Linked DNA regions of Cricetulus griseus. The protein of the gene in region 1 interacts with the protein of each later gene in a pairwise test. Links are inferred from orthologs where the notes say so. Each region holds a gene or a part of one and is shown on either strand. Other genes may lie near its edges.

Region 1 (4,282 bases):
AGGTCACTGGAGTTCCTGGATCACAGATTAGAAGCAACAAGTTTGGTAGAGAGAATGGTATTTGACTTTAATAAAAAAAAAGCATGAAGGGATGAAATGAGAAAGTAACTAGTGGGTAGAGAGATGTCTCAAGAGTTAAGAGCACTGGCTGCTCTTCCAAAGGTCCCTGGTTCTGTTCCCAGCACCCACATAGCAGCTCACAAATGTCTGTAACTCCAGTCCTAGGGAATACAATGCCCCCATCTGACCTCCATGGTCACCAGGCATATATGTGGTATACTTACTTACATGCAGGCAAAAAACACAAATAAAATAAATCTGAGATTAAATTAAATGTTTTAATTCTCAAGGAGCTAAAATAAAAATATGTACAATATTGTATTACTTAATTGATGCAATTTATAAGAAAAGCCTGATTTACCTTCACTGTGCTTTGAGAAACCATGAAAATGCTTTTCCCCCATTTTAAAAAAAAATATCTATTTTAGTATGTTTTTTATATATATGTAGGAGTATTTCTTGCATATACATAAGGAAACACCCTGAAATCTCAATGCCTTCTTTTAAAAGGCAGGTCCTTGTATCAGACAAAAACATCTCATTAAACAAAACACAAGAAATACAAGACACACAAGCAGCTGAAAATGGCCTTGAATCTGAGAATTAACCTAAGGCAATTTACCAAAATCCTTAAGAAAAAAAAAGAACCTCTAAGGTCAGTTGAATGTGGAAGCACACATCTATAAACCCCAGCACTGAGAAAGCTAATGCAAGAAAATTCCAGTTTGAAGTCAAGCTGGGCTACACTACAAGTCCAGGCCAGCTAGGATAGACATAAGTTGAGACCCTATCTTTAATTGTTTACATCATGTGTGTGTGTATGTGTCTGTTCGTGCATATACCTGCAAGTGCAGACACACACCTGCACACACAGGCACATGCCATGGCACACATATCAAGGTCAGAGGTCAACCTGCAGAAGCTGTTTATCTCCTTCCACAATGTGGATCCTAGGGATTGAACTCAGGTTGTCAGCCTTGGCAGCACTCAGCCCTGCTCACTAAGCCCTCTTACTGGCCCAAACTGTTATGCTTTGTTTTTCAATCTCAGTAATACAGTACTCAGCAGGAAAGCTAGCAGAAATCCCATGACTGAGACTCCAAGATTATGAAGGTGCTCCAAAAGCTAGGGAAGTAAACTGTGCCCACGAGTAACTGCAAATAACAGGATTTCAGTGTTCTTACTTCTCTTTCTGATTTTGCTTTATGTGTCTGAGTGTTTTGCATGCATAGTGTGTGTATGTGCCTAATATCTGTGGAAGTCAGACTGGGTCCCCCAGGACTGGCAACTGCTGAGCCGGCTGCTGAGCCCTCTCACTTCTCTTATCAACTACTGAGAGAAGCAGACCAAGAATGCTGTCACTGTGTGAATGTCACTGGTATGAGTGACACAGATTAAATATGAATTAGCTCACAGAAGGTTCAGGTATCACAGACATACAACAGTATACCAGGCTGGAGTTGCCATGTTCTAGGACACTGTTTTAAAATAGAACTGAAAGTCTTTCACCTACCCATTAAACCCCAGATCTGGGGGACCTAAGCTGGCGACTGAGAGAGAGAGAGAGAGAGAGAGAGAGAGAGAGAGAGAGAGAGAGAGAGAGAGAGAACAATCATTTGCTACAATAAAAGCAATATGAATTTTATCTTTTTTTTTTTTTTAAGATAGGGTCTCTCTATGTCATCTTGGTCTGCCTAGAACTCAAGAGATCTGCCTGCCTCTGCCTCCTAAGTGCTAGGATTAAAGGTGTGTAGTATCGTGCCCAGCAACTTATCTGTTTTTACTTATCTGTTTTACTATTTTACTGCAGTCTACAAGGGAGAAAGAGAACTAGTGAGGGGTGTATGTGGACTTGGGGCCTGTGAAACATTCTATCATTACAGCACATACTCTGCCTTCATGCGGCCAGCTGTGAAAGCTGCCTTCCACATGTGGCCCTGCAGCTGTTTGAGCGCTGTGGTCTTCCGATCATGAGACATCTGCCAGTACACATTATCCACCACGGCCTGGATCATCTGCTGCAGGTCATCCCCAGCATTTCCTGACGCCACAGGGATTGGAACGGCCCCATCCAGGTGTGCATCTTCTTCAGCCTTTAAATCAGAAACAGATCAAGTTTATTCATTTAAAGAGCTATACACATATGCTTGCACAAGCATACACCCATACGTGCATGTATTTTAAAAAGATACAGCAAAACCAGGAAGATCAGTTTTTTCCAACTATCAATTATCCTGAGAACTGCTAAAAATTATTCTTAAATGAATGATCTGGCAAAAAGGGATCGATCGCTAGGTAAAAAGCACTTGCCACTAAGCCTGTTGGCCTGAGTTCAATTTCGGGGACCCTCATGACCAAAAGGAGAGAAATGACTTTCTCTAGTTGTGCTCTGACCTCCATGAGTGCACCATGGCACGTGTACATACACATATACATAATTAAAACAAATTCATATACTAGGACTTTGTAACAATGCAATGCATTAAATGAACATAAAATATGTATGTATGTATGTATGGAACCTCCTTTTTGAGACAATAAAGATTAAGGGGAGTATTTCAGATTAACCTCAAGTTATCCAGAAAACTCAGCAAACCCAAATACTGCATGATTCAATGGATGGCATGATTATTTCTAATTCTAACTTCTTGCCATAAATAAAAGACACATGGACAGCATTCTACAATCCAGTGTAGGAAATGTACAATCCAGTGTAGGGCTGCACAACATGAAGATCTTTGCCACTGAAGTCAGCACACCATGCTGAAGAAGTTCACAGACTGGCTAGAGAGTGGCAGAAAGCAGTCTGTAGACTGGGCCAAGGGTAAACTGGTTGAGAAGTCTGGTAGGGTGACAAGATTCAAGGACCCATGAGCACTGTAAAGAGGGCAGTTTCATGCCATAAGGTGGGACAATAGGAAATGACAAGGTGCTGTCACTTGGTGACATATACGAAATGTGATGACATTGCACAAGACATTTTGTATTCCACCAGAAAGGGCTAATTTTACAAATACACAAGGCTTTCAGGCTATTTAAACAGTTGCTGAAAGAAGCAATTCTGCAGACAACGAATTGCTATGACTTGCTTGTTTTATTACAGGCTGTGAATTGCTAGGCAGGCAAGTCACTGCAGCTTCTAGACCAGGATCAAGGACACTGATTTCCAGTGTGCTCACAGCATGTTCCAAGTCTCTAGGCATCCTCCACTCCGAGACTCTGGGAATGTTGAAGAGGGAAGTCCTCACCTGTTTCCTCAGCAGGCTGACATCTTGCTGACATTCCTCCTCATCCCAGTGAGTCTGCAGGTACTCCTTAACATTCTCTTTGATGTAAGGGAATAAAGTGTCCTGGGGGAAGAAGGGAGGGAGACAAAAAAAAAATGTTATTTTTTAAATTGCACCAAATGATCTGTGTTTTATAATCTCACCTTAACTAACAAATTCAACAATGGAAGTCTCAACGGAAATTACTGCTGTGGGTCTCCCAGTGGGACAGGAAAGGAGACTAAGAAACAGGTATACTGGTCCAGCTTGTATTTATGAAGTATTATTGAAATTCAGCGACAATCATTTATTTTACATAGTCTCTGGCCACAATGGCAGAGCTAGGACCATTTAGCCCACAAAGCCTAAAACCAGCTCACCAGCCATTTACACAAATTAACTCTCAGACTATACTGTTAGACCATAGTCTTTTCGTTTGCTCTTTGCTTTTGTTTCGTTTTTATTATTTATTTTTATTTTGTGCGTATGGGTGTTTACCTTTGTATGTTTGCCTTCAGAGGATGTCAGATCCCCTGGAACTGAAGTCAGACATTATGAGCCACCATGTGGATGTGGTAACTGAACGTGGGTCCTTCGCAAGACCAGCAAGTACTCTTAACCACTAGCCCTCTCCATCCCCAGGCCAGACTCTTGAGGCATGGATTGACAGTGCCTTACTCAAAGTACACCATGGTATATGACTGGTATATACATGACAATGGTGGCCACATGGCAATGTAGAAAGGAAATAAATGGTTTTCTCGGTGCAGACTTCCTACAGAGCACTCTATAGCAGGTATGCAGCCAGGCATGATGCCTCTCGCTTGTGTAAGCAAGCACTTGGCAGACTGAGACAGGAGGAATGCTTCAAGAGTGAGTTAACCTAAGATATATACTAAGTATATCCCAGGCCAGTCTGGGCTACAATGTGAGACCCTGTTCTCAGAAAAACAAAA
Region 2 (5,080 bases), on another chromosome or scaffold:
CTTAGGGAACCCGGAGCAGCGCCAGGGGAGAGAATCCTACTCGGCGGATCTTCCTGCACCCTCATCCCCACACCCAGAGCTCGCCCGGTCCCCTCCCCCATTCACAGCCCACCACCCACCCAGCCAGCAGGCGGGACTGTGCACACCGCCAAGCCACCCGCAGGGGGAGCCAGGGGGCTGGCTGCCGCCGGATGCTGCGGAGTGGAACGCGGGAGCGCACACATTCCCGGAAGTGTCCCCTGACCTTCCCTAGCCAATGGGAGCTGATCTGCCCTCCAAAAACCCCGCCTCCAGCCGCCGCCCACCCAATCAGGCGCCGGTATTCACGCGCCACGAACGGGGAGGTTTTAGGAATTAAAGGAGCCTCGACGAAGATGAGTTCCGCGCGGGAGAAGATGGACCGACCGCCAGGGGGCGCCTCAGTTCGGCTCAGAAAAAGGCGCTCCAGGCTCGCAAGATTGTGGGTTTTTTTTTTTTTTTTTTTTTCCTTTTCAAGTAGTGGCACAATGGAAAAAGGTCCAAGGGCTTAGGAATGCAGCGGGCAGAAGTTTGAATGCCAGCCCCTCTCTTCGCTTCTTTGCTCGGCTATTCTTAAACATATAAATTCCGTTTTATACATGAAAATGTAGAGTTAGGTAAAAAGCGATGCCTAGGATATGGCATTAACTTAGACATAGGGGCCTTCATCTTTAATACACTGAACAGTTCTGCCCAGGCCTCTGGATCAAGTGGCATTTATGCTTTAGAAAAGACATTAGGCAGATTCAGCCTCCTTTGGAAGAAATGGAATCCGGGACATAAAAAGCAAGTCTTTTCGCAGGGCATGTCCGGTTCCTATTTTCTTTTCTCACTGGATCTTAAAACACCCAGCACCTTTAGTGCCCTCGGGGTACTTGTCAGTCCTCAAAGGCAACTACCTCTTACAAACAAACGAGTTACAAATGCACTAATGTGAATTTTTTAAAAAGACAACATAACAAATACTGTTTGGCACCAGGTTAGCCTAAGGGGTAAATGTAATCTCGTTTCTTGCCTTGCTCGATCCCTTACCTATATAGCAGAGCGCTTTAAGCTCCACGGTGACTTCCAAGTCCAGGTTCTCTCCCACCCACACCCCCCAATCGCGCAGCTGCAACCTCAGGAAACCAAACCCTTCACAGTGTTTCAGGGCACGATTGAGTTTCTCAAGAGCCATCGAATGTGGCCGGGAGGCGGGCGACCCTTACAACACCCTGGGTCAGAGCTTTGCGGTGTGACCCTGCCTCCCTGCCTCCCTCCCTCCCCCCCTCCCCACCCCGCAGCCTTCCGAGTTAACCGCTGTGTCCCTTCCCATGACACGAGGCCGGGAGGCTCCGCGATGCTGACCACAGCAGCTCTGGAAACTGAGGGGCAGGGAGGACAGCAGCAGGTTACGCTGCAGCAGCAGCAGCAGCAGCAGTAGCAGACCGGTTGTCCCGAGGCCATCTCGCCCCGACGTTGCATCAGCTGCAGCGCCCGCCCGAGACCTGCGTTATCGCACACGAAGTGACATGGCCGGGCAGTACATCCACGGTCGCCCCAGATCGTTACACCTGGAGAGCATAGAGTCCTCCCTCCCAAATGGCTATCAAATCCCGCCGGGGGTCCGTTTCTAACAACTTCCGGGCAAGAGCGGAGGTCTAGCGAACCGGGGCCGCTCGCTTGGAGCGTCCGGTCGTCGCCGCCGAGTTAAACAAAGGGGCGGGGTTTGGTGACGGACTTCCGCCCCGTTGCGTAGCAGCGGTGGGCGTGGCAAAAGGGTCAGTCCGAGACGAGCAGGAGTGGTTGGAACCTTCTTCCCCATCCTTTCCTTCCCCTTCCCCTTCCCCTACGGGGAGAGGCTGAGAGCCGGCACCCAGGCCACTCCGCGGCCGCCGTGGCCTCAGCTGCAGCCCGGCCCCGCGTCCGGAGAACCCACTCAGTGTCCAGGGCGGTGCGTAACGCTCCTGAACGAGCTTCTCACCCGGGAGGGGAGGGGAGCGAAGCGGAGCGGAGCGGAGGGGGCGAGGTCCCGGTGGGTAGGCGCCTGGGTCGGAGGTGCTGGGGGTCGAGAGGAAGGGTGGAGGGGGGGAGGAGGATGGAGGAAGGGAGCTCTGCTGGGAGGAGTCGGGAGGCGAGCTGGGGGCTCAGGAGCTTGGGAAGGTCCTCTGGAGCAGGGAAGCCTTGGGAAGTGCGGGAGTGGCCTTGGGCTGGCCCGAGGACCGGGGAGGAGCAGACGGCTCGGCCTAGGGGACAACGTGGAGTTTAAATGGCAATGATTGACGGGCCTGGAGGCGAGGAGGGGAACGTTCTGGGGGCCAGCCTTGGCAGGAGCCACGGAACCCAAACCTCCGCCCTCCAAGCGCCATAGCTTGGCTTCTTTCCCATGCCTTGTCTTTGGCAGCCTTGTCTTTCTCTTTTATTCCTTCGCCGCTCCTCTCCCCTCCCACCCCTCCGTGGAGGACTCTTACATTCCTGACATCCTTGCCCCTGGATGATTTGCAGCCCCGCTCCCTCGCACGCACGATCCATCCACTCGCTTTATACGAAGCCCACCCCAGCCCAAGGAGGCAGAACAGTTGGTGGGTAGAGAGTAGGAACAGGAGAGAGCCGAAAGCGAGCAGGATTGAGCATGTTTGGGATCGGCACACACTTTTCCTTTAAAAAACTAGCTTCATCTCAACTGGTAGCAATTGTGGCGGTTACCAAGGCCACTGTTCTCAGAGACTGACCTGTGAGAATCTTGGCAGGTACTTCTTATACAATAGTGTTAGCTAATTACAGTGTTGCTGGCTGCTAGTATTTCCCTAAGAAGGAATGGGATTGGATAGTGGTAAGGGAAGGAGAGGGGTACATTAATGTTGATACTCTGTCACCAGTAGACCCTGTGACAGGGCCTGCTTCCCAGTAGTTGAAAAGGGGGAACAAGCAATTCCAAACATTTCCTCTGGTCCTCATTGTGAATTTATTGTGCCATTCTGTTGCTACAACTAATAGCAGTCTGGAATCTCCTTTCCTATTTATTTTGTCGTTTGATTTGCTGTATGTAAGATAGGGCAAATGTCATCGTCTGTTTGACAGTTGGAGAAACTGGTTGCAATGCCTTATTTGAAGTTGGTGGGTGGCAGAGCTAGGACTGGAATAACCCAAGACACCTCTCTCTCTCTCCTGCTTCTTTGCTTGGTCAATAACCCTTTATCTATTTTTTTAGATTAACCCCTATTAATTTGCCCATCACGGGAAGCTTTTTGATTTCTGGGTCTGGGTCTTGACCCTAGGAGACCGAGCATTGCCTATAGAACCTCTTCCTGGAAGCATTTTTTGAGATACAGGTGTGTGCCAGCTTGTTGGGAAATGGGGAGGAGAAGAACATCAACTCCACCACTCCTCTTCTGGACTGTGAAGAAGGGAAAGTGCCAGGTTTTACATCATCTCTCCTTCTGAGAGGACATGTGAACATGTAGTTGATGATGAGCACGGTGAACTAATGAACAAAGTACCATATTCTGGAGAATTTGTATTCTTTGTAAAAATCACCATTATTTTATCCCAACATAGCCCTTGAAAAAAAAAAATATATATATATGATACAGGAGTTTGATTAGTAGGAGTTTGGTTAACATTCCTGTACCTCTTTGAATCAAATTCTCAGGGCACTGGAAACTTGGACTTGGTTCTATCTCGGTAGGCATGCATCTAGTCAGCCCAGTTTAACTGCTATATCTGAACAAGTTGCCCACCCTGGAGCAACATCTCTACTTTTCCCTCCTTACCAATGATTTGAGGAAGGGTCTCATCCTGTAGTCCCTGCTGACCTTGAATTTGCAGTGATCCTCCTGTCTCAGCCTCCCAGGTGTTGGGATTACAGACTCCACCATGCCTGACCTTGTTTTTTTGTATCACCCGTTGCCTCAGGCCCCACTCCTCTTCCCTCCTTTTTCAAAGCCCGATTTCCTTCCAGAGTATTTCTCATTTTGCACCTATAGCAGCATTCTTGGGTGTCTATGTGTAAAGTAATGTTTTCCACGTGGAAGGCAGTACCTGGATTTTTTTGTTTTGTTTTGTTTTTTTTGTTTTTCAAGAAAGGGTTTCTCTGTGTAGCCCTGGCTCTCCTGGAACTCTGTAGACGAGGCTGGTCTTGAACTCACAGAGATCCGCCTGCCTCTGTCTCCCGAGTGCTGGGATTAAAGGCGTGCGCTACCACTGTCCAGCTTATACAGTGTTTTTTGTTTGTTTTGGTTTTTCGAGACAGGGTTTCTCTGGAGCTTATCCTGACACTCCATATGGAGACCAGGCTGGCCTCAAACTCACAGAGATCCACCTGCCTCTGCCTCCCGAGTGCTGGGATTAAAGGCATGCGCCACCAGTGTCCGGCCCGAACTTTTTAATTTTTTTGAGACAGGGTCTCATATAGGCCAGGCTAGCCTTGAATTCCTGATCCTCCTTCCTTCAATCCCAGGTGCTAGTATTGCAGGTGTCCATCAGCTTTCCCACTGTTTGCCTGATTTTAAGTATTATTTCAGACTGGGTCTGAACACAATTTAGAAATAGACTTCTTGATTTATTGAGACAGGAGGGTCTCTGTGTAGTCCAGCTGGCTTGAAACTCACTGTCTTCTGAGTTTTTCAAGTCTTGGCATTACAGGCATGCACCATCATGTCCAACTCAGGTTTCTTGTTTTTGTTTTCCTGTGGTACTAAGGATTGGGTCCCTGTGACCTGTAAATGCTGGGTATTGTAAATCTCTACTATTGAGCAGCATCTACAGCCCAGATTTTTTTGTTTTTGTTTGAGACAAGGTTTGGCCATGTAGCCTAGGTTGGTTTAAAACTTGCTATATAGCCAGAGCTGGCCTCGAACTCAAGAGTTCTCCTATTTTGCTTACTGAGTGTAGGGATTACAGGCATGAGCCTACCACCATCCATGGCCTCCAGAATTATTTTGACTGGAAATAATGTAAGTGAAAGCCCTTTGGAAACATTAAAGGCTAGTATAGGGGAAATATAGATTCACATATTGTATAGCCACCAATTTGGAGTTTTTGACATTACTTGTTATATGTGCTGAATAAAGAAGTATATACA
Region 3 (3,979 bases), on another chromosome or scaffold:
ACAGGGGTTGCCTGAGACCATTGGAAAACACAGATATTTACATTACAATTCATAACAGTAGCAAAATGACAGCTATGAAGTAGCAATGGAATAACTTTATGGTTGGAGGTCATGAGGAATTGCACTAAAGGGTTGAAGCATTAGAAGGTTGAGAACCAATGGCTTAGATTGTTTTCTACAAATGATAAAAGGCCCTGGATTAGATTACTAACACTACACCCTCCCCACAGCACACACACTAGATATCACAACATGCCTGCAACCCGAGCACTTTCTTGGTGGAGGTCAGCCTGGGACTAAAGACACTGTCTTTTTTCCTTTTTGTTTTTCTTATTTATTTATTTATTTATTTATTTGTTTATTTTTGAGACAGGGTTTCTCTGTGTAGCTTTCGAGGCTGTCCTGGAACTTGCTCTTGTAGACCAGGCTGGTCTTGAACTCACAGAGATCTGCCTGCCTCTGTCTCCTGAGTGCTGGGATTAAAGGCTTTCGCCACCAATGTCCGGCTTAATTTGTTTTCTTAGCACAGGTTTCTCTGTGTAGCTATGGCTGTCCTGTAACTCTCTCTGTAGACCAGGCTGGCTTCAAACTCAAGAGACTGCTTGCCTTTGTCTCCCAAGTATTGGGATTAAATGTGTGAGTCATCACCACCTGGCTGAAACACTGGAATTCACAATCCACCTGCCTCTGCCTCCCCAGTGCTGGATTAAAGGTGCCAACATATCTGGACTGGACAATTTAACTTCTCTGAGCAGCAACACAGGGATCTGTACAAATGTGATAATAGCAACAGTAGCTTCATAGTTAATTAGCATACTTGTAAAACAAAGCAAAGCAAAACAAAAAAACAAAAAATTTTAGCATACTTGTTTTATTTTTATTTGGTTTTTAGAGACAAAGTCTAGTTCTGGCTGTGCTGGAATGCAGCGATAAAAGGTGTGACCTCATGTGGTCTTTAATTAGCATGTTAAAAACAATGCATCAGTCAAGACTTACATAGATATTTGATTTTATTCTTCAAAGGTTAGGGATTGGAAGAATACAAAATCAGTTTGTATCCTTAGCACTGGAAAACAGCAACAACAACAAAACAATGGTAAACAATAGGGTTAGTTGCAGTGGGGCAAATATGAACAGGGCTTTTTTTTCCCAGACAGGTCTCCTGTAGTCCACATTTGACCTCAGATTTGCTATGGAGCCCAGGATGATTCTGATTTATCCTCGGGGTCTTGGAAGTGCTGGGATTACAGCCTTGAGCCACAGACACCATCACTACGCCCTGCCCTGCCCTACACGGTTTACAAAATGCTGGGGATTAAATTCAGGGCTTTGTGCACGCTAAGAAGGAAGTTTATTAATGCAATACACCCCCAACTCCAAGCGAATATTTTATTTAAAATGTATTACATATAGAATTGTTTGTTAATCAGGGTAAATTAAGCCAATTGCAAAATGTAAAAGAACATCAGTAAATCGCTGGTGTTCACCTCTGCTGTTCACATTACACTCCAGCTGTCAAAGCGTAGTAGGGAAATTTTAAACTATCCTTTTTTTTTTTTTTTTTGACACCTGCAAAACCCTGAACTCAAAATAGAAGCTAATTCTCTCACCATGGTTATGCACCGGCGACACGAGGAGCCTTTACAGACCTTCTGAAAATGGCAGCCCACGGCGCAACCCTTGCATTCGAACGGCAAACCCGACCTTCCCAAGATGGCAGAACAACAAGGGCTCGTCACTTCCTGTGCCCTACCGGATATAAGGAACAGGATTTCCGCTTTCGCTCCTTTCCGGCGGTGACGACCTCCCTACGAGAACATGCCTGTGAGTTCCTTGGTCCTGGTTTCGGCAGGGAGCACGCTCTTGTGTCTACATTCTCCTCTCGCGCTGATTGCAGATCGTAGAGGGGCCACACTTACGCTCCGCGTACCTTAGGGCAGTAATTCCAGAGCCGCGGCGGCCCACGGGCCACCCGCGTAGATGGGAGCGGAGAGGAGATAAGATGGCGGCCCAGCTACGCAGACACCAGGGGCGGCAAGGGGCGAGTGCTCCCCGGTGTGTGACAGCGGGCACCGTTTGCCGTCGCCTCTTTTTATCCCTGCCTTCTAAATCTCTGCCTTTCTGCCCCTCGTAGCTCGCAAAGGATCTCCTTCATCCCTCTCCAGAAGAGGAAAAGAGGAAACACAAGAAAAAGCGCCTGGTGCAGAGCCCCAATTCCTACTTTATGGATGTGAAGTGCCCAGGTGAGGAGGTGGTTTGCTGGAGCGGGGAAAGCACTGATCATCAGCAGTCGAGGACTTTCTGAGAATTCAAAAAGACGGACTTGGATCTACATCTTAGAAGGAGTGCTTGGATTAGTGACAGCGACCGCACTGTTTTAGGAAGCTGTAAAGGGATGGTAACTTGAAGAAAAACTGAAAGCAGCTAACATTTTTTGTTGTTGATTTCTCTCTCTTTCAGGATGCTATAAAATCACCACGGTCTTTAGCCATGCACAAACGGTAGTCTTGTGTGTTGGCTGCTCCACTGTCCTCTGTCAGCCCACAGGCGGAAAAGCAAGGCTGACAGAAGGTAAGTGGTCTTCATGTTGGGTACTGACAGATCATGTAGCATGCAAACCTCCAGACTAGTAAAGTAAGCTGCATTCTTGTTAAAGTAGGCATTATTAATAGTTGTATTGATCTCAAAGCAGTATTGCTTAAAGCTGGGGTGGCCTGGTTTTGTTAAAAGGGTTTCATTTGTTTCCAGATGATAGGAACTGGAGAAAGAGATGTGTATAAATGGGAAGTAGACAGTGGGATTGAGAACAGATGTTCTTCAATCAGCATTCTGCAGATGAAGCAGGGGCTTCATGATGTAACACCTTTTTCTTTTCCTTCCAGGATGCTCCTTCAGGAGGAAGCAGCACTGAAAAGCACCTGATTCAAGATGAGTGGGAACCATCCCAATAAACACATTTTGGATATATATAGTGTCTGTCTTGTTTAACTGGTAGGAAGTTATGCCTCAAGTATTCCAGGGCAACCAGAAGAGTGGTCCTTTTGGGTCAAGTAAGTGGCCAAGAGTTCATTTCAGGCATTTGCATCTGGGTTCATAAACTGGTGGAACTGTATAGTTAATTGGGCTTTGTGTTCTCCTAATGTCTTTTTACTATTTATTCACTGTCTAGGGAAGCGCTGTCATACAAAGGTGTGTGACAGTTGTCATTCAGGGGTTGGTGCTACACACTACTAGAAGCAGAAGCAGTCAAGTTCAGAGCAGCCAGGATTACTGTACTTGTGTTCTTTAGTTTAGACGGGGTCTTATCATAGCTTCAAGTCACTACAGCAAGGGATACCTCCCAAGTGATGATGGCATTGTAGGTGTGCACCACCATATTAATTTATGTGGTGCTAGGAACAGAAACCCAGGGCTTGGTGGGGCCCCAGAAACTTAATCTTTTCAACACAGGAATTGGAATCAAACCGCTTAAGTTCCTTTATTTATGGTTAATAGAAAACTTGTTTTGGAGGTTAGTATAGAGTTTGCTACTCTATACTAATCCTTCTGCAGGATTAGGTGTCTCCTCCATTCTTTGACATGTGCTCATATTTAGGTTAGTGCTTTATACTCCATAACCAGTGTTGCAGCCGACTCTGTACTAGAGGTGGCTGTGGGTTCAGGAAGTGAGGGGGGGAACATGTTGTATAAGAACCTGGAAGAAAAGGGTGATAGTGAAGGCAAGTAAGCAAATATATAAGTTCACATACATCTGAACTTATGAAAGACAAGGGCAGTGGTTGTTTACCTGGCTGAGTTGTTCCTATAGTTGGTACATAAACAACAGGAACAGTCTGTATTTTGTTGAGGAAGGCATTGTATGCTGGATAAAGGAAACACCACAGAAAGATTTATGCGATTTTGATTGAAGGAAGGAAGATTTAAAGGCCAGCAAGATGATTCCAGCCAGCAGAGATACTAGACAAGCTTGTCTTAAGTC

The links.
Region 2: the proteins of Enoph1 (region 1) and Rnf41 interact in binary tests that used the Homo sapiens proteins (3 or more experiments, as listed by UniProt). The link is inferred for Cricetulus griseus from reciprocal best matches to the Homo sapiens genes ENOPH1 and RNF41.
Region 3: the proteins of Enoph1 (region 1) and Rps27 interact in a two-hybrid assay, tested with the Homo sapiens proteins (2 studies listed by BioGRID and IntAct). The link is inferred for Cricetulus griseus from reciprocal best matches to the Homo sapiens genes ENOPH1 and RPS27.

The regions. Positions count from the first base shown.
Region 1 is NW_023276807.1:162,164,652-162,168,933, reverse strand, and holds part of Enoph1 (enolase-phosphatase E1), read right to left. Parts: intron 3,866-4,282; coding exon 3,825-3,865; intron 3,411-3,824; coding exon 3,309-3,410; intron 2,154-3,308; coding exon 1,951-2,153; intron 1-1,950. UniProt on the Homo sapiens protein: Bifunctional enzyme that catalyzes the enolization of 2,3-diketo-5-methylthiopentyl-1-phosphate (DK-MTP-1-P) into the intermediate 2-hydroxy-3-keto-5-methylthiopentenyl-1-phosphate (HK-MTPenyl-1-P), which is then dephosphorylated to form the acireductone 1,2-dihydroxy-3-keto-5-methylthiopentene (DHK-MTPene).
Region 2 is NW_023276806.1:129,470,848-129,475,927, reverse strand, and holds the start of Rnf41 (E3 ubiquitin-protein ligase NRDP1), read left to right. Parts: upstream 1-1,768; 5' UTR 1,769-2,032; intron 2,033-5,080. UniProt on the Homo sapiens protein: Acts as E3 ubiquitin-protein ligase and regulates the degradation of target proteins. Polyubiquitinates MYD88. Negatively regulates MYD88-dependent production of pro-inflammatory cytokines.
Region 3 is NW_023276806.1:64,344,758-64,348,736, forward strand, and holds Rps27 (40S ribosomal protein S27), read left to right. Parts: upstream 1-1,688; 5' UTR 1,689-1,818; coding exon 1,819-1,824; intron 1,825-2,134; coding exon 2,135-2,243; intron 2,244-2,460; coding exon 2,461-2,571; intron 2,572-2,882; coding exon 2,883-2,911; 3' UTR 2,912-2,967; downstream 2,968-3,979. Other genes in the region: Nup210l (nuclear pore membrane glycoprotein 210-like), read right to left, coding at 3,597-3,694, 3,788-3,862.